3 linked regions of the Daphnia pulex genome follow. The protein of the gene in region 3 purifies or fractionates together with the protein of the main gene of each other region. This does not show direct contact. Links are inferred from orthologs where the notes say so. Each region holds a gene or a part of one and is shown on either strand. Other genes may lie near its edges. The genes, in order: negative elongation factor D-like, negative elongation factor A-like and negative elongation factor E-like.

Evidence for each region.
Region 1: the proteins of negative elongation factor E-like (region 3) and negative elongation factor D-like purify together in Homo sapiens (affinity purification with mass spectrometry; 9 studies listed by BioGRID and IntAct, counting the BioPlex papers as one, with this or other methods). This does not show direct contact. The link is inferred for Daphnia pulex from reciprocal best matches to the Homo sapiens genes NELFE and NELFCD.
Region 2: the proteins of negative elongation factor E-like (region 3) and negative elongation factor A-like purify together in Homo sapiens (affinity purification with mass spectrometry; 9 studies listed by BioGRID and IntAct, counting the BioPlex papers as one, with this or other methods). This does not show direct contact. The link is inferred for Daphnia pulex from reciprocal best matches to the Homo sapiens genes NELFE and NELFA.

What each region holds. Positions count from the first base shown.
Region 1 is NC_060027.1:2,125,529-2,136,281, reverse strand, and holds negative elongation factor D-like, read right to left. Parts: upstream 5,528-10,753; 5' UTR 5,459-5,527; coding exon 5,387-5,458; intron 5,297-5,386; coding exon 5,181-5,296; intron 5,121-5,180; coding exon 4,901-5,120; intron 4,832-4,900; coding exon 4,724-4,831; intron 4,657-4,723; coding exon 4,504-4,656; intron 4,434-4,503; coding exon 4,303-4,433; intron 4,227-4,302; coding exon 4,039-4,226; intron 3,964-4,038; coding exon 3,803-3,963; intron 3,748-3,802; coding exon 3,307-3,747; intron 3,248-3,306; coding exon 3,118-3,247; intron 3,048-3,117; coding exon 3,013-3,047; 3' UTR 2,878-3,012; downstream 1-2,877. Other genes in the region: zinc finger protein 62 homolog, read right to left, coding at 1-151, 224-453; RNA-binding region-containing protein 3-like, read left to right, coding at 1,360-1,529, 1,605-2,410, 2,472-2,625, 2,697-2,877; 39S ribosomal protein L22, mitochondrial-like, read left to right, coding at 5,760-5,996, 6,062-6,499; uncharacterized protein LOC124207899, read left to right, coding at 8,018-8,184, 9,582-9,711, 9,778-9,834. UniProt on the Homo sapiens protein: Essential component of the NELF complex, a complex that negatively regulates the elongation of transcription by RNA polymerase II.
Region 2 is NC_060020.1:1,897,113-1,907,913, reverse strand, and holds negative elongation factor A-like, read left to right. Parts: upstream 1-4,535; 5' UTR 4,536-4,692; coding exon 4,693-4,905; intron 4,906-5,007; coding exon 5,008-5,194; intron 5,195-5,263; coding exon 5,264-5,349; intron 5,350-5,419; coding exon 5,420-5,816; intron 5,817-5,884; coding exon 5,885-6,384; intron 6,385-6,452; coding exon 6,453-6,552; intron 6,553-6,623; coding exon 6,624-6,841; 3' UTR 6,842-7,306; downstream 7,307-10,801. Other genes in the region: tyrocidine synthase 3-like, read right to left, coding at 7,479-7,619, 7,691-8,015, 8,080-8,199, 8,277-8,430, 8,520-8,720, 8,821-8,917, 8,992-9,090, 9,179-9,375 and 2 more. UniProt on the Homo sapiens protein: Essential component of the NELF complex, a complex that negatively regulates the elongation of transcription by RNA polymerase II.
Region 3 is NC_060021.1:9,950,496-9,960,602, forward strand, and holds negative elongation factor E-like, read right to left. Parts: upstream 4,892-10,107; 5' UTR 4,801-4,891; coding exon 4,720-4,800; intron 4,657-4,719; coding exon 4,348-4,656; intron 4,289-4,347; coding exon 4,139-4,288; intron 4,071-4,138; coding exon 3,979-4,070; intron 3,921-3,978; coding exon 3,866-3,920; intron 3,555-3,865; coding exon 3,443-3,554; intron 3,374-3,442; coding exon 3,300-3,373; 3' UTR 3,247-3,299; downstream 1-3,246. Other genes in the region: serine/threonine-protein kinase SIK3-like, read left to right, coding at 190-396, 628-830, 897-2,195; protein capicua homolog, read left to right, coding at 7,874-10,107. UniProt on the Homo sapiens protein: Essential component of the NELF complex, a complex that negatively regulates the elongation of transcription by RNA polymerase II.

The sequences.
Region 1 (10,753 bases), on a different chromosome or scaffold from region 3:
TTCATGTATGCTTGCTAAATCATCATCATGCTCTATAGGAGATCCCACTTTGAAATCTCCAATTATCTTTTCCCAGGATGATCCTTGAATCCTGGGTGCAGAAAGTTGCCCTGTGTAGATGTAGCGAATAAGTCCTTGTACCTCATCTAACCTGCATATTTCATGAAAGAGAATGAAAAAACATTTAAAAAAAAAAACATAAATTTGATCATTGAAATATTACGTGTAGCCAGCCATGATAACACAAGGATCATCAGTTAAAGGCCAATCCTTAAGAAGATGGCAAAGAACTGGGCTGGCAGCAGCCAAGACACCTTTATTTGCCCGGATCTTTCCTCCATCACAGTGAAGTGTGACATCAGCAAACAATTCCTTTTGAAGACAATCATACAACCCTCTTTCAATGCATAGGCCACGTCCCTTTGCTCGAATTAATACTCTTGTACTCTTCATTCTGCAGAATCAACCTATTGAAAAACATGATAAGATATTAATATGGGATTACACAACTATCTACAAAAAGATTCTTGATGAATTCAATAGAAAAAACTGATGCAAACATTGAAAATTCACCAACATTAAGTTTTAGAAATCAACACATGTGTAGATTACTAGCCAGAATTCCTAGAAGAAAGAAAGAAAGGACCTCTAGTATCAAAAACAATTTCTCCGAAAACTCTTTATCGCAAAATGGTCTACATATGATCTAGCACGTAGACATTTTCGTACGAATAAACTGCATCAATAACATCGTAGTCGTAGATTCATTACAATATCATCGATTATTATTTTTGAAAGTAGAAACGCCCTCCATGTAAATGGAATAACCTACCAAAACGAATTTAATGATCAAATGATGTGTTTTGGTTTTCAATAGATATGCCACGTTTCAAAATGATATAAAACACCCAGGGTACAGGGCAGTAAGTGCGTGATGGATGAATGTCAATATAACCGGTAAGATTACTACTTGATTCAACGAACGCCTTGTAAAGAACGGGACTCTGAAAAAGCCCTAAACAGCAATAATGGAAAATTTAGAAATTAACAACATCAGCGCCACCAATTCTTTCTTAAGATTATTCTTGTTGCGCCCGGAAATACAAGAGTAAACTGGACTACGAATTCATCTCCTCTTCAACATTTCTATGGTTGCTCTATTGATTTCGGTTATTGCTTCATTCGAAGAAATCATCACACAAGTTTTTACCTCAGCTTGTTGAGTCACGAACATCCGTTTGGAATTATCAAGGGCAAATTGTAAGCACTGATTGAAAAGAAAAAGAGACTCGAAAGAGTTACAGTGAAGTAATCAACTAATAGAGAGTGTAAAAGTCGTAGTCAAATAGACAAGTAGAAATGGAACCTTGCATTACATTGCCCGATACCCCCGATACACTGATCGTGCGCCGTCTACCGGAATGTCTAACAGAGCGAGATTTGAACGATCTTTTCCGATATTTTGGTGCTCAAGCTGTGAGGAAAGAAACACCAAAGGGAAGGCAAAGGAACAGCACTATTATTGTCAAGTAAGTTAGATATAAAATACTAATTCAAGTGAAAGAAATAATTTGTTTTCTTCATTCAACCTGATGATGCAAAAGGTTCAATTCACATGAGGATGCATCATTTGCACTAACTCGCTTGCATCAGCTGAAGGTGGTAGGTAAGAGGATTGTTGCAGAATATGCAGACTTCACAATCTTGCCAGACATTCCTCAGATGAACCTACCAGCACCGAAACCAGCTGGCAAGAATAATGGTGTTAAGTATCCTCCTGCCAATGAACAGATAGTGAACAATATTGCAGCAGAACTTCTACGAAATGATGATTTTTATCACAAAGTTTTACAACTCATGAAGAGTATTAACTTACCTCCACCTTTCCTGCAAGTGCCAAAAGATCCTGTTGTTATAGTTGAACCATCTGATATTGAAGAAGTTGAAATGGAAGAGTTGTACAAAGAAGATACAGAAGAATCAGAATTGGAAACTGATTCTTCTATACCTGGAGAAAAAGAAGTCATTCCTGATGTAGCTGTCAGACATAAGAAGCTTAAACCATTGAAAAGGCCTAACAAGCTGAAAATGCTTATCAACCCATCAACAGCAGTGATTCCTGCTAAAGTGAAACCTGCATTGCCAACTGTTCAAACTATTTCAGAAATATTTGAACAGAAAGAAATAAGTTCAGCAAAGAAACTTGAGTTTAAGATATCTTCAGAAGTTCTTCATGCCAAAAGTGATCAGTCAACCGAAGCGCAACAAGGAACAACAGAAAGTTTCGGAACATTTGCTCCGCTTCCTCCGAGCCAAAATGAACAGCAAAGTGAAGCTCTAGAAAATCAGGAAGAAGATTACGAATTTATCTCCAGAAGAAAACTTCAGATAAACAAACTTCAAGATGAGGGTTAGAAATTTATCATGTTAATAAACAATGAACATTTTAAAAAAAGCTTTGCACCTTACAGAGATCAAACTTCTTCCTGTCTTCAAGAATTATTCGGCTGGTGCTCCTAGTTCACGACTTTACGTGAAGAACTTGGCTAAAACCGTAAAAGAATCCGACCTGAAGCACATCTATGGCCGTTATGTCTTGTGGACGTCAGAAGAAGAACGAAACATGTAAGAATAAAAACAAAACATAAAACAGATGTTTGACACGAGTAGCTAAGTAGTTAATCTTTTAAATCTAGGTTCGACATTCGCCTAATGACCGAAGGTAGGATGAAGGGTCAGGCATTCATCACCCTTCCAAATGTAGATCGAGCAAAGGAAGCCCTCAACGATACCAACTGGGTGATGCTTCAAGGCAAACCTCTGGTTGTTCACTTTGCACGCTCAGCACAGGCCAACACTACGGGCAGTACCACTTGATTATCAGCAATTTCAGTCGATTTATTTTTATGAGCACAGAAAGGATGAAAATAAAACAAATTGGAAGTGATATCCGCGTCGAGCGAAACTGTTTGTTTTTATGAGTCGCAACATCCAACAATTGGTAACGCTTTATTAGGAAACCACGACGTAGTTGGCCTTACAGTACACTAGAAAAATGGAATGCCTCATTAAGAATACTTGTAAGGATTCAAATCCCGTCGAAAATGTTATAAATACCTATGAAATCAGAGACGAGGTCACCGTCACCATCGCCACGCATTGTACCAGTAATTTCTTCATTTTCAACCATCGGAAGGAATAGTTGGACGAACTCGGATGTGTAGGGTGGGGCAATCGATTCAAGTACCTTGGGAATCATATTCAAATTATTACAGGAACTTCAAAGGTACGGTGTTTGGCATTTACCTCTGTGACGAAGTACCGAATCAGTGAAATATCCGTGTCACCTCTTTGCCAGCACTGTTTGATGTACTTGACAATAGGGACGACGTAACCACGCGTTAACAAATTGACCATACGATCAAGTAACATTTTACGCATTTCCAGTTGAACGAGAATCTCCAACTCATCCTGTCTCGACTCGAAAAGTCGTACCAGCAAGTCGAGGATATTTGAGTGGAGCAAAGGATTCACGGCGGCCACTTCATCGAGAAGCGCCAAATGAACAGGGGTGTGTTCGGTGCTCAACTTAAAGTAGGAGGGCTCTAACACAGTCGCTTCTACCCAGCGAAATACGCCCATAGAGACCACAGGGAAACGGATGTACTGATACAGAGTTCCAAGCTCAGCTATTAATTCAGTTGATCCTTTTGCTGTCGTGCAAACTTGATGAGCCTTCTCGAGTGCCTAATAAATAAACATTATTTAGCTTTTCCGATTGGCATTTTTAACAACAGTATACCTGCATGGTGGCCTTTAATTCATCTCGGTTCGTGTTTTTCCTTTGATTCTTTTTGTACACTTCAGCCACGCTGGCAGCGTAAGCAAGGAGATAGTTGTATTTTGATTTGTGCTCAGGATTGAGCTTCACTCCAGGCTTAAACAGTGAATCGAGGAGCAGCTCTACAAAAATTCGTGAATTAAAAAATCAAAATCTTCTAGCCTTTACAATCGCACGAAACAAGAATAATATCATACCCATAAACTGAGGTAAACGGATCAACTCCACCGGTGGGGGATCGGTTGCCGAATACAGTTTATACAAATTCGTGATATCGGCTGGATTCAAAGCGTTGCGAGAGAGCATTGAGGATAAAGCTTGACTGGCACGCGGATGCGCCGCTGACCCATTAAGACCCATAATAATGGCAGTGACATTGTGACCCCTGTCCGATGATAAAGCATTTGATGACATTATTGTTCCATCTAAAAAAAATGGCCTAGTGGAATTTAAATACTAACGATTGAATCGCGTGACGGGTAATTTCTTGTGATAGTCTTTTGATTGAAGGGCCTCCTTTAGGTTCTTGAGACAAAACATTTAACAGTACTTCACTGTACACGAAAGTATGTTGCCCATGACAAATCATCCGCTGTCAAAATTTGACAGAGCATTAATAACAACTTCGATATTGCAACATTCGAATAATCATGTCTACTTACAGCGCATTCTTGTATGTGTTTTTGCCTGTCGTCATCATTACTTTCTGAGTACTGGCCAACCGAAGTCTTCAAAATTCTTGAAAACACTTCGATTTGCTGAGCTGCAGTTGATATACTCGTAATTTCACCTTGAAATCCTGCATCCGAAATCAACTACGAATTTACAAAAGTAATTCGTCAATTACGAAAATTATACATATTATAAAATGGATATCAATACCTTAATGGTGAAATTCAACATAAGGCAATCAGGATATTCCTCAGCCAGTTTATAAACCAGTGATCTCCAGGTGGGATGTTCAATCATTTCAGTAAGCCAAGCTGGTGTCTGAATAAATAATTGGATGAATGAAAATACTGAAGGAAAATCTTAAGTTTGAAATATGTGTTATCTTACTTCTCCCTCCTCAGTGAAAATAGTATCAGCTTTCTTTGGATCAAACATTTTGATGATCATTTCTTTCAAGTGATTTTCTACCATTGACTGTACATCATTTATAGTTGCCCCAGCTAAGATGAGCCATTCTGCCATTAGATTAGCCATCTGTGCTGAGGCAGAGTAGTTCTGGGAGAGTAGTTCAATGACATGGGCTGGGCTTCCACCAACTGTAAAGTACCTGTAGGAAAAAAACATCAATCTAGCTTCTTTCGTCAATAGTGGAAATGACAATAGTAACCTTTTCAGTTGATTGAAAATGCCGGGTTCCATGATGTAGTCCTGTGTTTTGAACGTTTGAAGGCATTCTTCTAAAACTTCTGCAGGATTTTCCATGTACTGGTCCTCATTGTCAGACTACACGAAAATACAAATATTCATTAACCAAACCACTTAAAGTAAAGTATTACTGATGTAAAGAAAACAACTGAAACATGTAAAACTTACGTCTCCCATCTCGGAATCCCCTCTCATTCCCGAACTTTCTCCCCATTCTTGATTATCGTAGCCGTCATCCATTTCCAAGTCAAATTTTACGGAATCAGTAACTGTTTCATTCGATCAAACCACACGAGTTAAATATCTAATAAACCTGATGTGAAACGACGGGTTCAAATTATAACAACAAGCGTCACGAGCGCGTCAGGCGGCGTCTGCTTAAAGATTCGTCTGCAATCAGAATTATTATTTTTCTCCCATCCATTTGCACAAGTCCAGTCTAACAAAAAACTTCAAAAGAACATATTAAACTAGGTAAATAATAACAATCCTAATGTATTTTCATTTCTGTTCTAATTATTGATATTTTTATTGCAGGAAAATGGAGTTTTTGTTAAGACAATTTCAAAACAGAAACTTGCTTTCCATTTGCAAAAGCTTTCAACCAGCAATTAATCATGCCACTTCTTTATCTTTAGTCAATGAAACTTTTGGCAAAGCTTTGCTCCACACAACAAATGTTTCAATGGCACAGCAGCAAAAAGGGCCCCAAAAATGGCCAATCTATAATAAGAAAATGTTTCCTCCACAGTTACCTGGAGAGGAAAGAAGACCAGCAGTAAGTTATTGAGCATTTCCTTTTTTCAGCAAAAACCAATAAGTTGAACTATTTAAATCTTGCAGTATGTTTGCCACATGAGGACCAACATCAAGTATAGCCCATTTAAGATGTGGTATGTTGCATCAATGATAAGAGGGATGTCCATTGATGAAGCTCTCAAACAACTTAGCTTCGTGAATAAGCTAGGAGCTGTCCATGTAAAAGAAGCCTTGTTGGAGGCCCAGAAGCTTGCTGTGGAGAAACACAATGTTGAGTTTAAAAGTAATTTGTGGGTAGCTGAATCTTTTGCTACCAAGGGACTTGTTTACAAGGGTGTTCGCAGGCATGCCAAAGGAAGAGTTGGAGTAATACATTACTTCCACACTCATTACTTTGTCCGCTTAGAAGAAGGAACACCTCCTCAACATTTCTACTTGGAGACTGTACCTAAAACAACCAAAACATTGTTATCTGAATGGGTTGATGAAATGAGGCAGAGGAGAATCCCTCTCTCATTATAGTTCTCCCAAGTGCTGGTCTCTTATAGTTGAATGAATAAAAACATGTTTAATTCCATTTTCTGGTTAAGTTTCTATCAAAATTTTAACTTTTAGCGTTTCAAGTGCGGGGCACGATTTTCTAGATGAAAAAATCCGTTTGAACCATTTTATGTGAAAAATTATGCTTCATATTTCTTTTATAAAATACTCCTTTTTTCTATTAAACAATTTCAATAATTCCATTAAAAAATTATTTTTGCAAAAATTTTGCTAAATCGTACACTGCCGCGCTCGTCATTATAAAAGAAATGTGTGAAATCGTGACAGTAATGGATGCACCGGAAGTTGCGTTCTACTTTCGTCGTCATTAGTTCAGGCTGCCGGTGAAAACTGAAAATTCCGTCATATATTTTGTTCAACTTTGGCGTGTATTGATTCGTCCGTTCTGTGCAAGTTCTTTAAAAAAAAAACACAACTCGGTTACAAAAGTAATAGTGTAGTGCTGTAGAGTCGCGCCGCCAGCCGTGAAAATCTTTCTTCTTGTTTAACACCACGCTGTGAGAAACGACAGAGGAGCAACTGTTAAAACTGACATCAGGTAAAATAAAAATAAAAAAGCGAGACTATACTATGCCGCGAAATCTATCCGCAAACTCATTACTTTAAGCCAAATATCACGTAAGAAACTCATCGTATCAAGTCTCTGCATATCGTCGTCACACATTTTCAAAAGCATAAGATAATTACGATGATGATGCAATCGATTTTGTGGGAGCCAGTCAGCAGTTGTACAGGACGTGACGACAAAGTTCGGGGTTAGTAGTACTGTTTTGTTGTTGTGTTACCCTTTTCTATGACCCCCGTGAGGCGCTCATATATAATTCAGGCCGTCGAAAGGGTGGGAATCTAAGTCTAACAAAACAAATAGGTGGGGTGTGTGTGTGTGTATATACGTTAGCATTAGTCTTCTTTCTCGAATCCCGTTGATTGCCATCTGGCGAGTCGTGACAGCGTTCGTGTTGTCAAACTGGGCATAGAATGTAAAGGGGAGAATCGTGCTTGGGGCAATTCAATCACAATAAAGTATACCATCCGGATGGATGGATAGAAATGTTAGTTACGTTAATATTTCCAAGTCCATTTTAAAAACCCAAAAGAAATGAATAGATCTACCGAGGATATGCTAAGCGTCCCCGCCCAACTCGATTTCCCAGTTGATTCGTGAAGTTTGAGCTATTTTATCGCGATTGCAACATTTGATTCAATTATGGCTGTATAATCTCGATAATTTTATGAGGGGATCAACTTTTGTGTGTACACGGGCTTGTCACGGGAAGGAGAACAAGGAAGTCGGGAGAGAAATGGGACAAGTTCTGGCGCGCACAGCCTATAATAATATATCTACAACCCGTCTGTGTGCTAGTACGTACAAGACCGCACTGTCCCGTGTGCCACGGTTACCAAAGCAACCCGAAGCTATTTACTCAAGTCGTGGCAAAAAGGTTTTAGCCTTGCCTTGGCTGCCTCTATTCCGCTCGAATGGCCGAACCGTGCAGTAGCAGCAGCAGTGACCTGATCGCCTCAGACGAAGGACAGTTGGCTCAATTGCTGGATCAGGATCAACAACATCCAGCCGTCGACGACACCAACGACGACACTCTTCTAGCAAACATGGAGGCCTGCTTCAAAGCATTCGATAAAGACAGGTGAGTTTGTCTAAGTTGCTTCTACCTTGACACCTTTCCATGCGCGTCCAGTCCTTTCAAATATCGACCGATCGGTGCCAACAACAAGCCTCCCAATTTTTGCCTAAACCTAAAAAAGAAAAAAACAAGATTCGATTAGTTAATTGTCTTGCATTAGTCGGTCCGATGAAACGAGCACTCAAAGTGAGCACTCAAACGTACACGAAATGTCACTCTGCTAATATTTGTGATGACACATTTGATAAGCAAAGTTTCATTGACGTTTGCTATTTTTAGCCACTTGATAGTCGCGGGAAGGATCTAAAGGAGAGAAGAAGAAGAAAAAGTGCATTGGGTTTGTTGAAATAGGTGCTGATGGTGAGACTTTGACCTTTGAGCCGTTGTGTGAGCACAGGCATGAAAGAGAGCAAACACCACGTTGGCAAGTTTGTATAGTAGAGGAGGGACCTGTGTGTACGGTATCCTAGCGCGCGCTTAAATTAGCACACTCTGCAGTTTCGTGTCACAAGTCCACTAGACATCCAACCTCCCCTCGTTACGTATTCTATGCAGCCCCCCCCCCCATGTTTACGGAGGTTCCAGAATAGTAGGCGTCATAATAATAAAGTGACGCACAACTAGCAAACCGTGCCTTCAAACAAATCTGCAAACTTCATGTCATTGAGACAGCGCACGATGCGGGACATTGCGGCAGTTTTGTCTGACAAAAAATTCGACATATTGAAAGTATTTGCTAGACAATAAAAACAAAATTCAATGTAGTAAAGTTTTTCGCGAATAGAAAAAAAGTAGGAAGAAAATTTGCATAAAGTAATATTTGAATAAGGCCGGTCTTGTCTGACTTTTGGCAAAAAAGAAAAACAACTGGATATCCGGATAGTTTTATTCTTTTTGTTCTTGGTATAGCAATTTCTAATCACGCGATCCTTCCATATGTATACACATAATACAACGGCGCTTCCTCATCGGCAACTCGGTAGTTGTCGAGCCGTTTGTGTGTAGACCTTGGCGCTCCTCCAACCCACTAGACTTACGTCCTCTTTGAATTTTCTTTTATTTACTACACCAGTGACTTAGTTGATGGTCACGAAACGATGACGTACGCAACTTTATCGATCCCACAGTTCACACAACAATGCCTCCCCCCCCCCTCACTGCCTTGCGTTTTGATATCTAAGGTACAAATATAGAGTAGATATACTTATCTACGTACGCACCGTCACAATTTACAAGCTGTGAATTGGCCCTTTCCACGGGGTGGTCGTTTTCACTGGATCCGGTCATTTGCGAAGGTCAATTCCCCCCCGCTCGGCCAATGACGTCACCAACACCTTTCAAGAAGAAAAATCTTTAAAAACATAAAATTATTTCATTTGTTGTTGTGATGATTATTACAGTGACGGGTTAATGACGTTGTCCGACTTTGCCGCCCTGTGTCGTACTCTCTTCCGCAATGAGCAGGGCAAAGCTTACGCCATCGAGGAAAGTCGGCTCCAGGAAATGTTTGACGTCTTTGATCGAAACCAAGTAATTCAATAAAAATTCAAAAAGTAGCTGTTTCAAAAATCTAAATTCAAAATTTACCTGTTCCAGGACGGTTATGTGGATTTCCAAGAGTTTGCCTTCTGCTGGAAGCATTGGATCAAGCCCGTAAGTCCTTTTTTGTTTTCTTTGTGTCCGTCCGTTTCCAACAATAACAAATGAAAAATGGTGAAAGTATTATTGGATAGGGAAAAGTTGCTGAAAACATGTGGTAGTAGTTATAGAGCTAGTCGTACGATAAGTCAAACTTTATTACCAAAACGCAAACACTTAATCGATCATAGATAACGGGCCTTGAAAGAGAGAGGGAGTGTTCTAGACAACAGACGGCGTAGAATAAGTAAAGTTGATCGATGAAACGGGCTGAGCTTTTTGTTGTGCAGCGGCACGAGGCACCGGTCGTAAAGAAAAAAAAACGACCTCGTGTATATTATAGATATTTCGAGAATAGGAACAGTAAGCGCCTGGGAAAAAAAAGGAAAGGAAATACTATACAGAAATGGGAGAGAAAATGTGTATATATCGGACGGAAAGAAACGCAACTGTGGGGCTAGAGAACTACCATCGCGTGTCTTTTCAATTGACCCGGCATGTTTATGCGATGTTGGGAAACACGCGTACTATTGCCGGCCAGCCATGAGGGGCCGAACATATAGTACACTATATTATAAATAAATACAAAAGCTACTCAATCACAAGTTCTTGGTGTATATATATAAAAGAAAAAGGGGGAAAAAACAAGCTTTGAAATGGGAAAAAAAAGTTTGTTTTTTTTTCTTTGCCTCTCTGCTGCTGCGGCACACAACACTTCTGCAATATTGTGACACACCGACACGCAATTCAATCACTCATGCCTCCCACCTGAATTTTTCTAGACTCTCCCCCCTCCAATTTCGGGGGGAACAATCGTGATTGATACACCCCTTTTTATTATTATTTCCGTAAATCGGGCTAAGCAATTATTTGTAGAGTGTGGCATTTGGCCTCAGTGCGAGATGGGTGTGATCACGAAAATTTCTATTAAAGT
Region 2 (10,801 bases), on a different chromosome or scaffold from region 3:
CGGCCCATCACTTTCGTGTGTCAATAGAGAGAGAGCCTGCTGCCGCTGGCCTATATGTATGTACCTGTGAGTATATTATATTGGGGCGAGTCGTGAATTGTATGACAGGAAAAACGCGGATGAAATGTGTTGGGTGCAGCAGTTGCTCGGATCAAAGAAGAAGAAAAAAAACGGAAACTTGTTTGCTGCTGCGACTGGGATCGAGATCGAGTCAGATGAAACAGACGGGCAATATACTATACACGCTTTTGACGGAATAAATAAGCGGTAATAGAAGTCTGCAACCACCAAAGTCACTATGAACATCTTATTACTCTCTTATTTTTCAAAAAAATAAGAAACTGGCCCACTTTCACTCTATAGATGAAGACACTTTTGGGCCATAAATTCGTCTTGACCTTCTAATAAATCACGACATTCGCTCTGCCGCCTAAGGTTCTAGGTCTATATCTCAACTTGTATTATATACAGCGATACATAACTTGTCCTATATTAACCTCGCAACTTATGACGAGCGCGCGACGGTGATGATATTACAGTATAATACAGTCTATCATATAGCAAAACTAGTCCTGGCGTTGGTCCATTCAAGTTTGAATTCTCACGGTATTGTAACGCCGTAAGCACTGTTGAGGGCTTACACGCGGCAAATGCCGCGCCAAGTTGGTCCGACGGACATAGCCGCGCGTATAGATTAGACATTTAAATTAATAGAGTTCAAATTCTACAGCCCGACCCTCTTGGAATCTAGTCCAACCTAATGTACAGTACGTATAAAGCCTATTATATAAGACAAGCCAACCGAAAGTGCACGAGGAACAGGGAAATCATCGCAAATGAATCCTGAATGACGTTTATAATATTTTGGCTTTTAATAAGCAATTATATACAACATAGGGACGAAAACTTAAGTAGATATAATCTAATATTAATGATTCGTCTTCTTCGTTTTTCTCGAACTTTGGAGAAGAAGAAGAAAAAGAAAAACAACAGTCATGTAATATCGTTGAAACTGCTGGTTTGTATAACAAAGGTAACCACAGCAGCGGGTATATATGGCAGCACGCTGTTAGCGGGCAGAGAGAGAGCAGCATCAGCTTTGGATATTGATGCATCACTTGGCCCTGCAACGTAAATAATTGCATAGATACAAAGAAAAGTATCATCTGGTTTTCCTTTGAATCGGATCAGCAGTCCGCCCAGCTCTCTCTCTCTTTCTCTCTATGTGCATCATCCACACTTTTTTTCTTACCCCGCAGCCTAGTGCGCAGGACGCCGACAATATTATATTCCGAAATATATGTGCATACACGACACACATCTCCCGTGCTGGGCGTGCTATATATATATTATATATATATGTATGCAACGAATCAACAAGCACATTTACATGCTCGGAAGCCTTTATGTCAATACGAAAAAAGGTAAAGAATAAGACGAGCAGTGCGTCTGTGTGATGTTTGGTGGGCGAAAAGAGCGGAAAAGAGATACCGTAGGAGAGATGGTGGTGGGATCAGTTCGGGACTTGATAAATACACACGTCAGAGAAAGTTAGTATAGATTTATGTTAAATATCTAAATACTTCAGTTCTTATACAACGGAAATATTTTTTGATTTATTTATTATTTCATTCTCATTCAGCGAATAATAATCATTTCTTTGGGATTATTATGCAGGAATTTCGTATAGTTCACCGCGCGTAATTGAAATTATTTTCCCTTGGACATTATTTCGTATAGATATACCGGCGTCGCATACTCGTTAATGCACTTTCGGACTTTGGCGCTGGCTGTGCTCGTTGATGACAGTGGAGAATTGGCGAAAAACTTGTCGCCAACTCGCCTTCCCCCTCTCTTGCTGGCCAGGTCACACAGGCCCTTGCTGCATGCTGCTGGCCTATTGACATGTTTCTATAAATACGCTTACATGTGGTATATATATATATGCTATACAAAAGCCAAGGAATGAGCGATTGAATCCAATTGAACGAGAGAATGAATGGGGTGATGTGGCTCTCTCGGAGGAATCGTCTCCTTTTCAATCGACTTTCTCCGACTATACTCCCACGCATTTCACGCAATGAACGACGGACGAAAGCTGCTGGCGACCCTCTCATTCACAATAATACCCCGTCGATTAGAGCTGATATCGACAGAAAAGCTATCGCGGCTAGATATATTACGTCGTCGGTCAGAACCCACTCGAAAACGACGAGCGTGTACAGCCAACCGTGGCTATACAGCAACCGACAACAGCGAACAACAGTGAATCCGTTTGTGTTTCGTTTGCAGCTTGCTATATCCCGTCTGTTATTTTATATCCAGTCAATATCTATATCCTTTTGACTCAGCAGCGAGTCGCCTCTTCCTCATCCAGGAGTTGCACTAGCAATAAGTTGTTGGACGATGGATTTAGGTTGGCCGTGCACACCCACCGACATAATCTTATATCCGTGACGTCAAATCGGCCTCAGTGCCATATTGCCTTTGGATGGATGCGTTGAAAAGTGGTAGACGCATCGCTATTATAGATGCTATACGTAACATCCTCATTGAGACTTGGGCTATCATCGGATACAATGTGTGTACATACTTTATACATCTGAGACGGATGTAATAAGGATGAACAAGCTTTTTCATCGCCCAAACCCCCGGAAATATTTTGCCTCTACACTTTCAAGGCTCTAGCTCGACGCACAGCTCTATAAAACCAATTTCATTACATTTCGCCTGCTGAGAATGATGATGCTGTTGCTGTGTGTTACAACAGGAAGCGATAGATGTACGGCGAGCGTCAAATAACCAATCATTCGTTGCGATTGTTGGAAACGCGCTGCCAATTTCCCTAACAGATCAAATCGCTGCTGGCGGATTAATAACCCCCTTGCGGACTTAAGAATTTCAGATTTAGGAGCACTACTTCTCGCGACTAGGACAAGACGACGTCACAGGAGGAAGCTCATTTTACTATATTTAAACGATGGCCCTTTTATTTTTTTGAGGCCAGATTTTTGTGCTTTTCAAATGTCAAAATGTTGTCTCCCCCAAAACGGTTATTACATAATAGATTCTCGACTGCTGAGCCAGCAGAGTCGTTCCATTTTGGGTCTTTTTTTAAATTTAATCTGATGCTGGGCTCCTTTTGTTCAGCACTTAATTAACCACACGGACATCAGAGCGACTGAATTTCCTATTAAGAGATTCTATCGTAGCCGGAACTGTCCTAACCCAACCAGACGATATAAGGAAGAACGTCGGAAATAGATGACTTTGTTTTTCAACGTTTTTTTTGTTTTTTAATAAGCTTTTTATTTATAGAAAACTGATGTGACGTTGAAGGGGAGATGGGTGTGTAACATACATTTAAGATGAGAGCACATATTGGAGTTGAGTATTGAAATAAGTCACGGAAGGTGGTTTGGATTTGGGTGCATTACACGCTCGCACTTCATTGCGCTAATAATACTGCTGGGCCCTAATTGGACCAACGATCCTTATTAGGGGTTAATCGTGCGAATTGACCGACACAACTTCGGGCTTTCGGAGCACCGAGACCCAACTAGTAGTGAGACACCGGGAGATTTTATGGGTTACGAACTTAATGATAGGTACTACATAGTACTTAATTGAATCAAGGCGCCTGAAATCAGTTGGCGAGTTTGGAAGTGAGACATTGTATTGATTAACTGTATACACTTCATCCGTGTTGCGTTTGCGTTACATGTTGTTTGATACTTGCACTGAGTCTTAAACGGAATCAGCGTCAAGTTTGAAATTTAAAAGAAAACAAAATATTTCTATTCTAAAATGCAGGTTAGTTCTAAAGAGAAACTCGATCGCGCGCAACGAAAGATCAGATTATAACAATGGAATTTTTAATTTGTTTTCCGACTAATTCGTTATACAATTACGGTCGACATGGTAGAGCGTTGAGTACTTTTAGGACCATTCGATCACTCGACACACAATAGTTTCGACAAGAAACTATATTTACAGCTTTAGAAATGGCACATCATTTACTTAGGTCGATTAAGCGACCTCCTGACGAGTGATTCACGTCCGTTATTTGGTTGTTCGATAACGAATCATTGTAGTCTAGTCAGCCGAGTTGAACAGCAGCAACGTTTCCCAACAACGCGGTTTTGGTAAAATAAAAAAAAAGAAAAAGTCCATTCATCGCAACGCAAACAAACGCTTGTACTCAACGACAGATAATTCCGCTTGGGGAAAACCATTTTGTATTTTCTTTTTTCTTTTCTACGACCGCCATTCACAAGTCACAGCACAGCATCCCATCGAGAAACGTGACTAATAACAATATATGGCATCGTTGTGATATTTTCATCTTTGATTTTCCCGCGACCGTTTCCATCGGTCGTTCAAAATACGTTTTTTTTTTTTTAAGTTTGGCCTAACAAGCAATCGTATCAGTGGCAACTAGCCCAAATTTGCGCAACGAAAAAGATAGAGGCAGGCATGCAGCGCCCCTAGCGGCCGTTAGTGGTAAAGTAAGTTTCGGTCTCATCCGAAACTACGCCACAGTGACGCTGTCTGCATCGACATTTTCTGGCTCACAGTGAAAAAGTTGTAAACAAGTAGTGGGAAATTGGTTTGTGGGCACTGTTCCGTTCGCTGTAAGAAACCTTGTGTTTGAGAAAAGCAAAGGAAGAAAAAAGAAAAACAGGGCGGAAAATGGCGTCCAACGTGAGAGACTCAGATACGTCACTTTGGCTTCATAATAAACTTGGTATCAGCACTGATTCCTGGGCAGGCGGCTCAATTTGTTCCCAACTCAATCCCGAAGTTTTGAAGAACATTCAAGAATGCTTTGTCGAGCTGCAAACACAAGTCAAACTCAAATTTCTACTATCATTCTTCCAGTTCTCAAGGAGGAACTTAGAAGAGGTCAGTGGCCTTCATATAGTTTGATTTCGTCTTTTTCTCCATCTTGTTTGTCATTTCACTTCGTAGATTCTGAAAAGTAATCGTTTTTTATTACTTGTATAGTGGAAGACAGAGTTGGAAGAAATTTTGGAAGTGGCTGTTGTTGATGGTGATCCGTGGGTAGCCATGGTTGCTGAAATCCTCAAAACATACCCAGCCACCGGAGCCCTCAACATGGAAATTGGCTCTGCCACCGATGAATACACAAGAAAAATCTTCAACGATCTTGCAAATGATTTGAGAAAACTTGGTAACTTGGCAAAAATCTAAATTCATTTCATCGTGGCTTTTTCGTAATGGTTTTGAACATAACTTACAGTGAAAAAGCATGGAGAAACTGGAATGCTTCCTTTAGAATGCCCCTATTTGAATAAAACAGCACTGTTCACTGTTGTCGGCCAGCAGGTAACGCTCATCTCGTTTCGCGCCAAAATGGAACCTGTTACATTATATGCGATTGACTCTGCTCTTTCAGTCCCACCCCATCAAACATTTCACATTAAAGAGGAAACCCAAGTCAGCGGCGCTGCGTGCCGAGCTTTTGCAGAAATCCACCGACGCCCAAAATAACTTGAAAAAGAATCCTGCTCCTACGGTACCACTGCGCTCACGAGGAATTCCAAGGAAGATGACGGACACGACACCATTGAAAGGCATTCCTAGCCGGCACATTGGAGGATTCGCTTCGCCACTTTCGCGCGTTGGGACGACGCCCACAAGTGTCGGTGCTCTAGGATCTTCTCCGTCCGCTGGTCCCAACCGTCCGTCTCCTCGCACGTTAGCTGGCAGAAAAGATGGCGGTATCAAATTGCTGGACATCAATGAGCAGCCGATCGGATTTGCTCAGGCGAAGAAAAGAAAACGACAACAAGGTAATACGTATCCAGCTATATTTATCGAATTGCTTGTTAACGCTGTTGCCTCTTTTCCCCCCGTAAAGAACTGGAAGCTGCCCAAAAAGCAGCCACCGAAACGACGGCTACCTCTACAAATCCGGCACAACCGCTTTCGGGCGAAGAATCAGAGACGGGCAGTGTCCCCGAAACTCCCGAAAAACCTACTCCAACGCCCGACTATGCAGCTGGCCTTCTTCCGAGCAACCCGCCTCCAACCCCGGCCGCCCCTGTCACTCCACTTGCCTCCACTTCTATCCCACCTCTTACGCCGTTGAAAGAGCCGCCTAGAATGGTAGCCGTCCGTCCGCCTACTACTCCTTCAATCAGTTCTCTACCTCCAGCTTCTCCTGCCCCACCTGCCCAAGTGGTACGCCTTGTCACAGCTCAAACGGCGGCTGCGACACCTGCTGTTGCTACTACGGTGCCCACCGTTTATCGGTTGGTTCAACCAGCTGCTGCTGCTGGGCAGCCTGTCGCAGTGGCGGCAGCAACTCCCAATCAACCGGCCGCTCCACCCAAAAAGAGTGTGGCACTCATGCTCACTGTAAGTTTTAATTGTCGTTGCAGTCATGGTGAATGATTCTTTGGTAATTCAACATTTGTTTTCTATAGCGCGAGCAAATGCAAGAAGCTCAAGAAATGTTCAAGAACGCCAACAAAGTCACACGACCGGAGAAAGCCCTTATCCTCGGATTCATGGCAGGCTCTCGGGGTAACTTTCATTGGAATGATGCTGTTTGAAAACAAAAGAAATGTTCATTCTTTACTTACTGATATTTCTAGAAAATCCTTGTCCACATCTGGGAAACATCGTCACCATCAAGTTGAGCGAGGATGAGGAGGTTGTGACGGCTACCGACGGTGTCACCACCACCAGGGTCGTCGAGACGCATTTCCAGATGAACTATGCAGCCGGCGAATGGAAACGCATCAAGAAAATGAGGAAAACGGAAGAAACTCCGGCGTCGGTCGCCACCGTCATGGCCACAGCGACGGGCTGAATAGGAAACGAATCTGGTTGCAGTAGAGAGAGAGAGAGAGGGACTTGAAAATTCTGTGTAAATAGCAGCAGGATGGATGTTACAAGACAGAGGCGAGGAGAAATGAGTGCGGATGAGAAAGTAAGCCCTTCCCTCTATCCCCTACCCACCGCGTTGTTCCGACTGTGGGGCACGGGATTTATTTTGTTTTGATATATTTCGGTGCCAAAGTCGATTCAACTTGTCCCTTCTTTCCAGTTCTGTTTTGCACATTACTATTCCTTTCCCTGTTTTTCTTCATTCCTATCGATTCGACTTGACTTTCAGTCCTTATCCTCTCCGTGTCGCCCGCATCTCACAAACCAAGCTGAAGCCTTAGAGGCGGCATACTGTTCAGTATCTCAGCATTTGAAAATTGTTCATTTTTTTTCTTTCTTTCAAAGTACAGTTTTCTTGTAGTTCTCATACACACAGATCCATGCATAACATGTTCATATCATTCAAAGCGAATAAAAAAAGCGATACTCTTTGTTAAGAAAAAAAAGAAGTATGTGTATTGAAATCGTTAACAGTCCCGGTCGCTATTGGTTTACGCGACTTCCAGTTTTTGTTTTAAAATAATTTTGCGTTTGTTTAAACAAAAAAAGAAAAGGAGAATTTAGTGTATATATTTGACAGTCACTGTCGAGTATTGGGTATCGGGAGCGTGTTCAAAAGGCTTGGTCCCATCGCTAGCGATGTGTTGATTCACTTGGCACTCGAACAATACAGTATAGTCCAGTAGGTCGTCGCAAATTTGCTAAATCGAAAAGGGAAAATGAGTTGGTATTTTGGGACGAAACTTTGCCTCAAATGGATAAGTCGAGTTACTCTTGTTAGTTCGTTGGTGTTGGTTGTGAAAACACCGACAAAGCCTTTCTGTATCGCCAGCTCCAGGGTCTCTTGCTCCGTTTTCTGGATGAGTTGGATGTTCTCCAATGGACTGGAGGTTTCGGCCGTGGCCATCATAAAGCTGTGGATCAATAAGTTGGTCCGCTTTTCAAAGTGCTTGTCTCTGACAGGAGCCTCAATCGCCTCGAGAAATTCAAAGACGTACGCCAAGCGCCGGACTTTCGGTTCAACGACAGGCTCGTCAAAGAGATCGAAATTCAGGGCCACGGCCACTACTTGTCCGCTCCCGTTCCGGATAACAAAGCTGTGCGCACCCATAGAACAATCAATCAATTGGTGATGGTGTCTTTTTAAAATGGAACTTCAACCTCAAGTCTGCTGCCACTAATGGCTCCCAGAGTTCCTCCATGAAAACTTCGTAATCCTGACGACTGACGCCTGTCAAAAGTTCCAATTCGGCTTTCTCCGAGAAACTTGTACTGATAATCCTGATTAATATCGTCAAGCATTACGACATGTCGTTATTTATAAACGAAATAAAAAATAACTAAATAAAATAAAATACCTGATGACGTCTTCCTTGACTGACGGGCTCAGCATTTCGACAGTGTGATTGGATAACTGATGATCCGATGTCTTTGATCCGCAGGCCGCCTTCGATGGCAACAGTTGAGAAACCAAATCTTCCAGTCTGGAGGCGGCAAGGAATTCGGTCAAATCTGTCATGAGGTAATAGTATATGAAACGTGTGACGAAAAAGAAATCAAGCCTGTTGGTATAACGTAACGAGGTAACTAAGAGTTGTTACCTATGTGAAAGCCTTGATCCTTCAGCTTGGTTACCACATTGACAGCGTTGAGTGAATTGCCCCCGATTTCGAAAAAATTGTCCGAAAGTTGAATGGCTTTGCCCGATGACGAGCCAACGATTGAATAGACAGTTTTCAATAGGGCTCTCTCTTCGCGGCTGAACTCGTTTCCGTCCCACATAGTTAAACAACTTGTCAAATCTTTTTTTCAAAAAATACGTCAGAGAGTTTATTAGATACAGCAGTTACTAAATAGTCGATAATAAGGATGTTCAAATCTCGAGTGAACCATTTGACCTACCGTTTTGTTGTTGACGCTGATCGACGTAGAATTGCATCAGTTTCTGGCGGTCGACTTTGCCGTTGACTAACAAAGGAAGCTCGTCAATCAGTACCAGCTAAACAATCAAAAGACATTTTAATGAAATAAATACGTAACAATCAGCAAATGTAAAAGGAACTTGAATTTTACCTTGGGCATCATGTAAGAGAGAAGCTTGTCTTTCATCCGATCTTTGATGACGTCAACAGTGATTTCCTTTTCCATTGGAATGACGAAAGCTACAATTTCCTTTTAAACCCATAGAGAAAGAAGAAGAATAACGCCTCCGCTTTTTGACACTCAATTACATCACATCACGTATATACCCGGTACTTACTTGTTCAGGCTCTCCCGCTTTGTAACTCAGGACGACGCAGGTCGACACGAGCTTATTCCATTCGATGGCGGCGTTGATTTCACTTAGATCCACGCGATGACCTCGGATCTTCACCTGCGAATCAGCGCGGCCAAAGTAATAAAGCTGATCGTTGAGAATTCGGCCGAAATCGCCCGTTCGGAACATGACTTCATAACCTATATACGTATACCAATCAATCAAATAGATATTTAAGCCGAAAAAGCTTCATACACAAAAAAATAAGAATAAAAATATTTAACGGCCGTGGGCTGTAAATAGGCTCACCTGGAGTGTCATCAACGTGATTTTTCAAGAATCGTTCCATTTCCCGGTTTCGGACGTAACCCGAACACAAGTGACTTCCGGCCACATAAATCTCTCCTATCTCTCCATCTTTGATCAAATCTCTCGAAGCGTCCAGCAAGTATATGGCGCAATTATCTAATGGCTTTCCTGTGATGTGTTATGCAATCCAATATTTTATACTATAGAGTATAGCCTACCATTTTTAAATTGAATATGTGTGTTATTAATAGTGCCGTCTTACCAATGGGGATTTTGTCATCAATAAAAGAGGCCAGGACGTCTTCGCGTGAGCGGAAAGCCGCGTAGGTGACGTCACCCATGACTTCTGTGCTGCCGTAGTAATTGCATATGATGGTGCCGGGCGGAAAGCAGTCGTAGAACTCTAAAAGGAGCTCGCCAGTGAGGACCTCTCCTGAACAGACCCACATCTTGAGATGTTCAAGAGGATAGCGCTGCTGATTGCCGGAAGCGGACTCCGGCGATCCGCCCTGCTTCCACCCTCCGTCTCCCGATTTCAAAAGGGTCAGAATGGCTTTGAGTAAGGAAGGCACCAAGACTAGCCGCGTGATTTTGCATCGATCCAAGAGATCGATGAAACGCTGGGCGTCTTGAGTGACGGATTTGGAGACGATCTCAACGGGTCGACCGATCAATAGCGGCGCCCAGATCTCGGCGATGGAGTCGACAAAAGTCAGGGCCGTTTTGAAACAGCCCACCTCCGTTGGGCCGTAAGGGAACGTGCGCCACTGCCAGCTCAGTCGGTGCAGGATCGTGGCGTGTTCCAGACGGACGCCTTTGGGAATTCCCGTCGATCCCGAAGTGTAGAGCACGGCCGCCAGATTCTTACCGCCGCCACCATGCGGCTGCTGGGATGATGACGGGCTTTCCTTTGTCTCCTCCTTCAAAGGAACGATGCTGGATGACGCCTCTTCATTCTCTTTGTCTTCGAGATCAAAGACGCAGACGTCGTGATCGGCCACGACGGACGCAAAGGCCGTGGCTCGCAGGATGGTTCCAGTCGTAACAAGTAAAACGGGCTGGGCATCTGTTAGGATGTGATCGACTCGATCGGATGGAAAGGTCGGGTCGAGCGGCAGGTAAGCGGCGCCAATTTTGAAAATCGCCAATAAACTCACGATCAAATCGACATCGGGGAAGAGATTGACGGCTACAATCTTGTCGCCACTGACGGGCGTCGACAGTTGGGCGACGGCCGACGCCAGTCGAGCGGCCAACTCGTTGGCTTTGCTATTCAATTGGGCGAAGCTGATTGACAGGCCGGAGTCGCGCAGCCGT
Region 3 (10,107 bases):
TTTTGTAGAAGCATTTTTCTTATTTAAAATTTGTTATTTTATTATTTTGTTCATTATTCTAATTTATTTGCATTTTTTACCTCTACCCTTTCCCTTCTTCATTTCCGTTTCGTTTCTTCTCGCTATGCTGGACGTGTACTTTTGTTTTTGCCCCTTTTCCTTTGAATTTCGATTCTAAAATACTCTTAGTGATCCCTGAGCTAATAAATGAAGTTGAAGCTCGAATGAACCACCTCCCGTACACGCCGCCTAGTCTCACTCCAGGCAACCCCACTCCTTCTACAAGCATGAGCATGAATAACTGTGTAGGTGTGCCTCCAAATACTCAAGCTCGTCCCCCAAAGAGTCGACGTACAGGACTGGCAACTGTAGTGGAACGGGCTGGTCCCATGTTAGGTATTGTTCTCTAAATCGAGTATTATCCTGGAGACTAAGGCTAAAATTAGTTTTCAGTTTTGCATCATGAATGAAACAGTACACACTGGCCTGATTCATATGTATTTATGTTGTTTTAACCCTTGTCTGTTATTCACTTAGAAATCGCCTCAATGTTTTTCTAACATTCATCGTTAAACTAATTGTTGTTGTTCGTCTCCAGTTTTTAATCCCCACATTCATTTTACTCAGGTCGTGACTGTTCGGCCAGAGCGGATACAAATGTGTTGACGTTGCCATCGGATCGGCATCCACGAAGAGCAAGTGACGGATGTGCCTCGATTGGCCAGTATCGAATGTCAGAAAGGGATGGTGAAGATCCGAATACCGCATCCAGCAATGTTTCCTCTGCGTCTCAGCTTAAAGCTGTACATCAAGAATACCAAGCTTTACAAGTATTTATATTAAAATCCTAAATGTCCGTTCCACGTATCCTATACAAGTTTCATTTCATTTTTCAGCGTCAGATGGTAAGCAGCAATACTAACGATATGCAGATGCGACATGCTATTCACGTACAACAACGGCAACAGTTGCAGCAACAGCAAATGTCTCCGCGAATGACTCCAACGCCACCGCCCACGTCGACATCACCAGTATCTTCGGATTTCTGTGCCATCGGTTCACCGCACTACCTGAATCACATGTGTTGTGAAAGTGGTAATCTTTCTCAGCATCTCCAGCAGTTGCAACTTCAACAACAGCAGCAGCAACCGCCACCACCGCAGTCCTCCTTATTACAGTCGTACAGCCAGTCTCCGCCCGTCGGCGGGGTCCTGTCTGGTTGTTGTGGAAACAACAGTGGCGGGTCCATAGTGCAAGGTACGGGCCGGCCGATGGGTTCAATCGTTCAAGGAACGCCAATTGTGTCTCAAGGATCTCTTGGGTCAGCGACCCCTACACTAGGATTCTTCAACATAGAAAATTCTCAGAACTCGGTTGCGATGCCACGAGTCCAAGGAGGTTCCATCATTCAAGGAACTCCATTTAATCTTCCGACAGTGCCAAATAATCTGGACGTCTTCGCTAATCAAACCCCAACGTTAATGCCGATTTCAACGTTTGCAGGCGGGTCCATAACTCAAGGAACACCGGTGAATCGGATGATTGAAGTGGAGGACATGGAATCGGATGCGATCGAAGGCGATATCAGTCCAGCGGAAGAGGCTTTGGATTTGAGTGTTAGAAATTTTAAAAATCGAACCGATAACGAATGGACGTGCCAACAAGAGGTGGAAAGAAAGCCGATATTTACCGGTCCGCCTCACCCTCAGATCTCCATTACGGATGAGCAGGGCGAAGTGACTGACATGTCATGGAGCGTCTATGCTCATCTGAGCGGAAAGAACGGCACCTGTCGTCAGGTGGGTTTGCAGAATCTTCAGAACGACGTGCTCTCGTCATCATTATTGGCTGGTGATATCAGTTCAATGTCTGCCTATCCGGAATTGCACAAATCTTCCAGCGGATCGATCGAAGTGCAGCTGTCCTCCGACTGCTCGCAGTTGACGGTTGCCGAAATCTTTGCCTTGATTGAGCGCTCGATTCACACCAAGGCGTCAGGATTGGTGAAATGTCAAACGGAGAACGATGCCGCGCTTCTACTCGAACGACCCGGTGAAGACATTTACATCGCTGTCGAAGTCAGCCCACCTGCTGGCCCAGAAGGTTTAAAAGGGTTGAAAATCCGTCGTATATCGGGAGACTATGTCCGTTACGATCGTATATGTAATGAGCTGATTGCCTGTATCAGCATGTAAAAACTAATCCCATCCTATTCCTCTCGCGTGAGTATGTGGTCTCTATTTGTGTGATTGAATGACAAAACCTATCCATTTGAACGATAGCCTGGACGCGCTTGCTCTTGCAATCCATTCCGATCGTTAGCCGAAATTGAATGCGTTCAACGCGGTGTATATTTTGGTCAATTGTTTATGTGTGTGTGTGTGTCTGTGTGTGTGTATGCGAGTGCGTGCGTGCCTGCGTTGTCAAATGTCGTCTCTGAAACCGTGCTAGTCGCAAGCAACCAGTTTGAGTGAGCCGTGTGTGTTACCTAATTTTGTTTTCTTATCATCATCATTGTTTTTTTGTTTTTTTAACATTTTTTCCAGTGATATGACAGGACATTCCCCGTCTTTACATTTCCCACCTTTCTGTTAAGTTTTTAACGATCGTCTATTTTAGTTGCTGAAAGGCAGGGCCTGCAATTTGCGACTTTATTTTGTTTTTTCCGTTGATTTTTTTTCTGTTGCACGATATTCATGAACGTCTCTAATCAGAACGCATATTGAGACATGATTGCAGACATTTACGCAAAGCATTTATCTGTTATAAGCTAATAGGTCTGCGTCTGTCGATTTTGAGATATATTTTTCCCCTTCCATACGTATCGCTTGACAAATGGAGCTAGATTCTTGTCCCCTCTTTCCATAATATTCTTTCAAAATCAATACTTTATGCACTTTGAACGTCGGGAAAATCGTTCACCTTCGCACACCGCATTCCGCTGTCTATGTGATTACTCAACAACAAACAGAATTCCGTTTGCAATGCCCCGAAGAGTCTAATGTTATTATTACGTCGTTATGATCGTTTCAAGGTAAAATTACTTTTCTGGAATGGGGGCGAAGGGGATGGAAAGAGGCAATTTATCGTATATAAATGTTGGGGGGAATTAAAAAAAAGAGATTTGATCCGGGAAGCTAAATATTCTCTCGTTTGGTGCCCGTCTAAAAATAAAACTTGTTTTTGTTTTTTTCCATGTATTTCTGATGGGAAATTTATGTAAAATGAAATATCACTGTACATCCACCACGAGAAAATTACAATTACATAGAACCGCCTGTACTGTGATGATTTACTTTTTAAAACAATTCCTCTTCATATGTCACTAAATCGCGCTTATCTTTATAGGATCCTTTCTGAGAATTGCGAGCCGCTGAAATGGAGAAAACAAAAATAAATGACATTTCATCAAAACTAGAAAGCTCAATAAAATAAGGCTAACCTATTGTGGACCACGTAGCGGATGATGTTGCATCGTTTATAGGTTCGATGACAGGTTGACGCCTTGCGAGTGACACTTTTAGTTGAATACCGGATACCATGCTACCATTCATCTAGTATTCAGTCACAAAAGAAAAACAATGGCAGTGTATATCATTATTACATTCGTCATAGGGGAAATTTTAGTGACGATAGAATCTGGTGCGCTTAACAACCTGGAACGCCTTTTTTAAATTTCGAAATAAATTTACTACGAGCCAAAAGTTCCCACTAGGTATATTGGGCAAGAAACTTGGTATAAAAATTCCCATTACGATTTGGTCAACTACTAAAGCATTTAAAACCCACAGGATTTTGTTTGTCTATTTTAGTAAAATAGGCAAAAGTGAGGAGTAGATTTTTTAAGGGAATTCTCTATACATACTTCACTGATGGCTCTGTCTGCTGAAGTTGTTTTGTCGAACGTAACGAACCCGCAACTGAGAACAAAAAGGTATTTAATATTTTGCTACTGTTTGCTTTAATAGAAGATATTACTTTTTCTCAATTTCCATTGAAATGTTTACAACATTTCCAAAAGACTGGAAAGCTTTTTTGAGGATTTCTTCTGTAATGCTGTAGCCAAACACCTAAAAATGGCAAACAATGTGATTAATCAACACATTTCATCAAAAATCTACAGCCAAGAAATGATTACATAAACTGTGTGCCCCACTGTAGGTTTCTGGTGCTTCACTGGAGAAATGGCAGGAGAGGTAGGTGTTTCTTTGGGGTTTGTTGGACTAATTGAAGCTGGTTCAGCATCTGATTCTCTTGAAGAAATGAAATTTTCATAGAGATTGGGAACCTAAGCAGAAAGGAGAATGCTTGAACACAGTTATTTGGATTGGATAGTGTTGTTGTTACCTTGCTTTTGGTTCTAGCTTCATGTGTGACATGTTCTTCATTAGAAACCATACTTCCTTGACTTGAAGAAAACGGTTGGAATCCACTTGGTGCTCGATCAGAAGAGGAAAGTTTTCTTTCTAAGCCTCTTGATCTTTTGAATCCAGTAGTTTCTGTTTTCTCGCTAGGTTTTGGAATGGCTGAAATGGCTCCGGACTTCAAGAGCTTTTTAGCCACTTCTCTGGCGTCTCTTGCTTCTGCAGGTCTTTTGAGTGCAGGTGTTTTTTCTGGTTCTGGTTTGGGTGCTTTCAGTGCTTGCAAAGCTTTTTTCTATTTCCAGTATACTTCATTAGTAAAATAGTAAAAGGTATATACTATTTGCATGCAACCCACCTTCTTTTTAAGTTTTTGATATTTAGTTTGCAGCATTAATTCCTCTTCTGTCAAATTGGAGGGGAAATGAAGATAAACCATTTTATTAAGCGTTGACTTTGATTTTGTTCGTTCGTTTTGCAAATTTAACGTTAAATTTCGTTGTTGTTTACGCCGCCCAAGGACGAGTTGTAGATTTCGACGTTAGATGTCGCCTGTGGAATTCTTACGTAAATAACAATAGCAAGGGACCTGGTAACAGAACATTTTTTTTTCCCTCAAAAGGACCAATCCAATCACAAGTGTTTAGGTCACGTGTCTGAGCCTCGTAAACGGAAATTCCAGCCATTCACGATCCTTGGCCGCCGTAGCCGTCAGACGTGAGTATACCAAGGGGGAGAGAATAGACAGATTCGAGTACGAGAAACTGGTGTAACGAGACTGTGTGTGTGTGTGTGTGTAGCTTGAATGAAAAATCGATCCATCTGCAGTTGCTGCTGTTCTCATCATTCGTCGATACGAGCCTAGGTATAATTTACAGTGGTGATGTGTCAAGGTTACAAACATTTTTTCACACCTTTGTCTCCTACTTGATTCTTTTTATGGATTGTGCAGGTGTGTAGTAGAGCCCGTCCGTTTGCCGGCCTCATGATAGTACAACACGATACACTACAGGCTAGGTGAGTAAAACTGTCAATAGTTGCGCAATCTGTCTTTTATTTTCCAAAGTGCCGGCTAGCTAGAGAGTTTTTTCAACCCTCGAGTTATTCGAGAAACTTTCAAGGTTCTCTCCTTTCGAGTTAGGGAGAGACGACGATTCTTTTGTTCCATTTCGACTCGCATTTTCCCCCCTGGAAGTAGACACAGACACACAAAAAAGGGCAAAATAGTAGTAAAAATATAGTAGAGACACTTGCCCAGGAGAACCATCGAGTGGGCGGTGTAGTAGTAGTAGTATTATAGTAAGGTTCTTTCTCCCTCTTCTGGTTTGGGTTGGACACAACAATGGGGACCCCCAGCCTCTTTTGAAAAGAAGTAAAAAGGGGAAAATGCTTTTTCCCCACCAACCCCTGTACAGGTTCTTTTTTCCCCTATTATTTTCGGTCATGGTGGGAAAACAATTCAACTGAGAAAGACGACCAAAAAATGATGTGCCACAGTGCCAGTGTGTGTGTGTGATGAGGTCATAGTTGTTGATCAGAAGAACACAATTTCTGCCCTGTCATATTAATAAGAAATGGGCTGCTGCTGGCGTCTGAAAAATCAGTCGACTGGCGTGTAGTTCGGTCATTCTGTGAAAAAAAAAAAGTTTTTATTTTGGAAGATGTCGAGTGTAGTAGAATTGTAGGCGCGCGCCGACTCTGAATTTCTAGGACCCTCCCCATCCGCCATTCCGCCTGCAGCAGAGATAGGGCCCTGGTGAACCGGTATACACTCAGTCTTCATCTGGCCGTGTCGTCGTGCAGTGCAAGTGTTTGTGGCTCCCTCTTTCGCCGATAGTTTTGCCATCGACCGTTTTACTTGGCCACATAATAATAATATCCACATGCTACCATGGAATGGAGGGTAAGGCTTACACAACTGCTGCCATTTTCTTGGTTTAACACGACGAAAAAGCCCAACGAAAATTCTCCATTTTTTTCTCGTTGGCCGAGAGAGAATTGGGTGTGCTTTGTTGGCGTTTTGTGTGCGGTGGTGGCGCCATGGACGGCCTTGACTCGATTGAGCTGCTCTTTCTTCGACTTGTCTAAACTTGGTGTGTTTGTGTGTGTGTGTGTGTGTGTGTTCAAACACGACAATCTCTTTACCATTTCGCCGTGGTGGCCATCTTATATTTTATACATATGACGATCCAATCAGATTTGAATTTGTTTTTCTTGAAATGTCGTGAGCAATAGGAATGGGGTTATCAGCCGGGAGAAAGCTTAAGCAAACACATACACAGGTTGTGACGCCTACATCGGTGTGTGTGTGTGTGTAGGTGTACATTTTGGCGCATCCGGTTGTGGGGCCCACAACTTGATTATTTGCTTTAAACTCTGTTGTAGTACTCTCACATCAAAAGAGATACATAACTGGACCGCCCACTATTGTTATCCCCCCCCCCCTAACTTTCAGTTGGAAAATGTCACAGTCGGTCGAACGGATAGAAATTGAGGTTTTTCATTCGCCTTTATGATATGTTTTTGGAAGGCTAACGGGATGAATTGCCAACTCACGGCCTTTCATCACAACCGCAGCAGCCCAAGCTTCTCTCTTTGTCCGGTCCCGTCACCTTTTTTTTCTTTTTCATATAAATTGTTTGTATCTGGCAGCTATCCCATTGGCTCACGATGCCCATTTCCCCTCCTCTCTCAGTCTGTGTGTGTGCGTGTAGCGTAAGCAAACGACCTTGACAACCGGTACACTCGAAGAACCATGTAGAGAGAAAGAGCTAGAGAAGCGAGTCCAAGGACCCGTGGAAGCCTCCTCCAGGGCGCGGAAGAAATTTTTCCCTTTTTATACTCTCCAAGATGGCCGAACTAAAAACAAAATCCATTGATGGATTCCTAGGTCGTGATGTTTTATGTATATAAAGAATCCACACGCGAGAACGTTAGTCTTTTTTGTTTTTTTCATTTCCTCCGGAATGCCACACGTCGCTCCTGAAACACACATTTTTTAACTATTTTTAGTGAGGGGGCTGTGTTTAACCTCTTTTCTCCCCTACTACTACTACTACGGTGCGCGCATTCATCACAGTGCAACAGCCTCTTCTCATTTACTACAAAGCCCGAAAGGCGCAGGGTCGAAAAGCCCTGTGGGAAGTTGAGCTTTGGCCTTGTGGCCGACCTTTGTCAAGACACACAGTGTCGACGACGACGACGTGCGTAACCCGACGAATACAGATGATGCGTGCTTTGGATATGGATATTGTGTGGTCGCATGGCAACAACATTTTTTTTTCTATTTCTCGGTCTTTGATCGGCCACGTTACACCCGAGCCCCTTATCGCCCCTTTTTTTTTCTCTTATCTCAAATGTTTTTCCATGGCGTTGGATTTCTCTCTCTCTCCCCACCCAAAACGCTCAATATAAATGTGATGTCAATGTATATATTAACCACTCTAAAAAAACTTGTCTGTTTCTTATTTTTTAGGAGGTGAGAGCTTGCTGGCTACGTGAATGGCTAAACTATGCAACAGAGGAGAGTGGAGACCAGATCACGGAAGCAGGAGCATTCGGCCGCCGGCAAGGGTCTTATTAGCCATAAGGGTCAATCAGTGGGCGGCTCGTCGGCTGACGTTGTCGCCCGTCTTCTAGTGCCACCACCACCACCCCCCAGTCAGACAGTGTACCCGGCTGGGACTTGCAGTGCAATAATCGACGAGTGCAGAACCGCCGTCGCCATGTCCAACCAACACGAGTCAGCGGTCGTAGCCCGTCGCGTGCCCAAAAAGCGAAAATTCGATCCGGCCGAATACGAACAATCGGCTGATCGGACGTCGCCTCGCCATTACAACCATTCTTCCCAAGTGCCAGCAGCAGTAGCAGCGGGATCGAGCTCGGTGATCTCATCGTCTGTAGTAGTAGCCACCATCCCAGCAGCTTTGACGACGGCCAGCAGCAGCAGTCCTCCCGTTCTTCTTCCTCGAGTCGCTACTCCTCCAGCGGCTCACGTCGATCTCAACGAATGGCGCTGCCATCGTGTCCTGGCTAAATCTGGCAGTCGCTACTTGACGGGAGTCATCCGCAGTGGTCACGGACACAGTGACGTTCTCGTCCAGCTGGACGGACACGAGCAGCCGACACTCTATTCAGATGTCACTCGGGCCGGCAAATTTGACGTCGTCAGCGATGCCAGTCCTTCACCTTCCCAGTTGACACTGGGCGCCAGGGTGTGTCTCCGTGTCGACGATCATCCGCAGTTGTCCGTCTTTGTCGAAGGCGTCATCTGCCAAATATCCAGTAAACCTATACAGTACCTCGTTCGGACCATCGGACAAAATCCGGACGTCGAGCGTTGGATCACCCGACCGTCTCTCCGTCTCCTACAACCCCCATGGTGGGAAGAGTTGGAAAACGGACCTGAACCTTCATCCACGCCGGTACCCATACCGCCGCCAGCAACAGAAACTTATCAGCCAGATCCAGCAGTTGTCGTCAACCGAGTCGATTATCATCACCACCACCAGCAACAGCAGCACGCCGACAGTTATCACTCGTCTCGTCCACCGTCCACCGGTCCGCCGGTGGAAGTCCATCTGGAGGCTATCCATCCCAACACTGATGCCTTGGTGGTGACGACGACTCAGAGCGCCCATTCCAGCGGCAGTGAAGAGCTTCTGCCTAGCCAGGCCGCTGGCCGGCCCGCCTTTCACGAGTACGACTACGGCGGTGAGAGTGACGAAGATTTGAAACGTGAGGACATCACCTTCCATTCAGAATCGGGATACACGGTGGCTGGACGCTCGCTTTCGTTGACGCCAGGAGCGTTGGCAGATGGCGTGGGAGGCGGCATTGATGGCAAATTCTCCGGAAGCAGCGGAAGCAAGCGGAGTAGCATGCAGAGTCGCGGGAGCAGTTGCAGCATACTCGATCCGTCTCCGGGCGGTAGTTTGACTCCTCGTTCCCAGCCGACGACGCCCAGTCCTTTCCCGGGCGCCCGCTCTCTCACTGGAACGCCGCAAAAGTATAAAAAGGGCGACGTTGTGGCCGGTCCTAGCGGCATCCGCAAAAAGTTCAACGGCAAACAATGGCGCCGCCTCTGCTCCAAGGAGGGCTGCAACAAGGAGTCGCAGCGGAGGGGCTACTGCTCGAGGCACCTGAGCATCAAAGGCAAAAGCCTGCGCTCCTCTGGTGGCGCAGGTGCTTCCTCGTCCAGTCTCGGCGGCCTAACGTTCCCATCAGGTGGCAACAAGGCGTTCACCAAGGACGGCCAGGAGATGGACTGGGAGGAAACGCTCTCGCGGGACTCTGTTGAGCCGTCTCCCTCGGGCAGCTACAGCACGAGCAACAGCACGCCGACGGCCGAATCTGGATTGCAGCGATCCCTCAGGATCGGTGGAGGAGCTTTGATTGCCGGCAGCAGTGGCGGAAGGGACGGCCTGTCTTTGGAGGAAACGGAAGCGGCCAACATGTTAGTTTCGCTCAGCAATTCGCGCTCAACTACGCCGGCCACTCATTACGGACTGGCCACGGATCTCTCGTCAACATCGCGACTCCTTCAATCGCCGCCAAACTCTCACGTCCTGACGGTTGGCATGCGCCACAATTTGTTTCTGCCCATTTCTCAGCCGACTGCCACTAGCACGGCCGCCTTGTCCACTTCGATGGGATTCCATCGCAGCCAGTTGGGGTCTTATTCGCATTGTAAAGAGCAACCCATTATCCGGCCGGTAGGCCACTCGACCCCCAGGGCCATTATTCC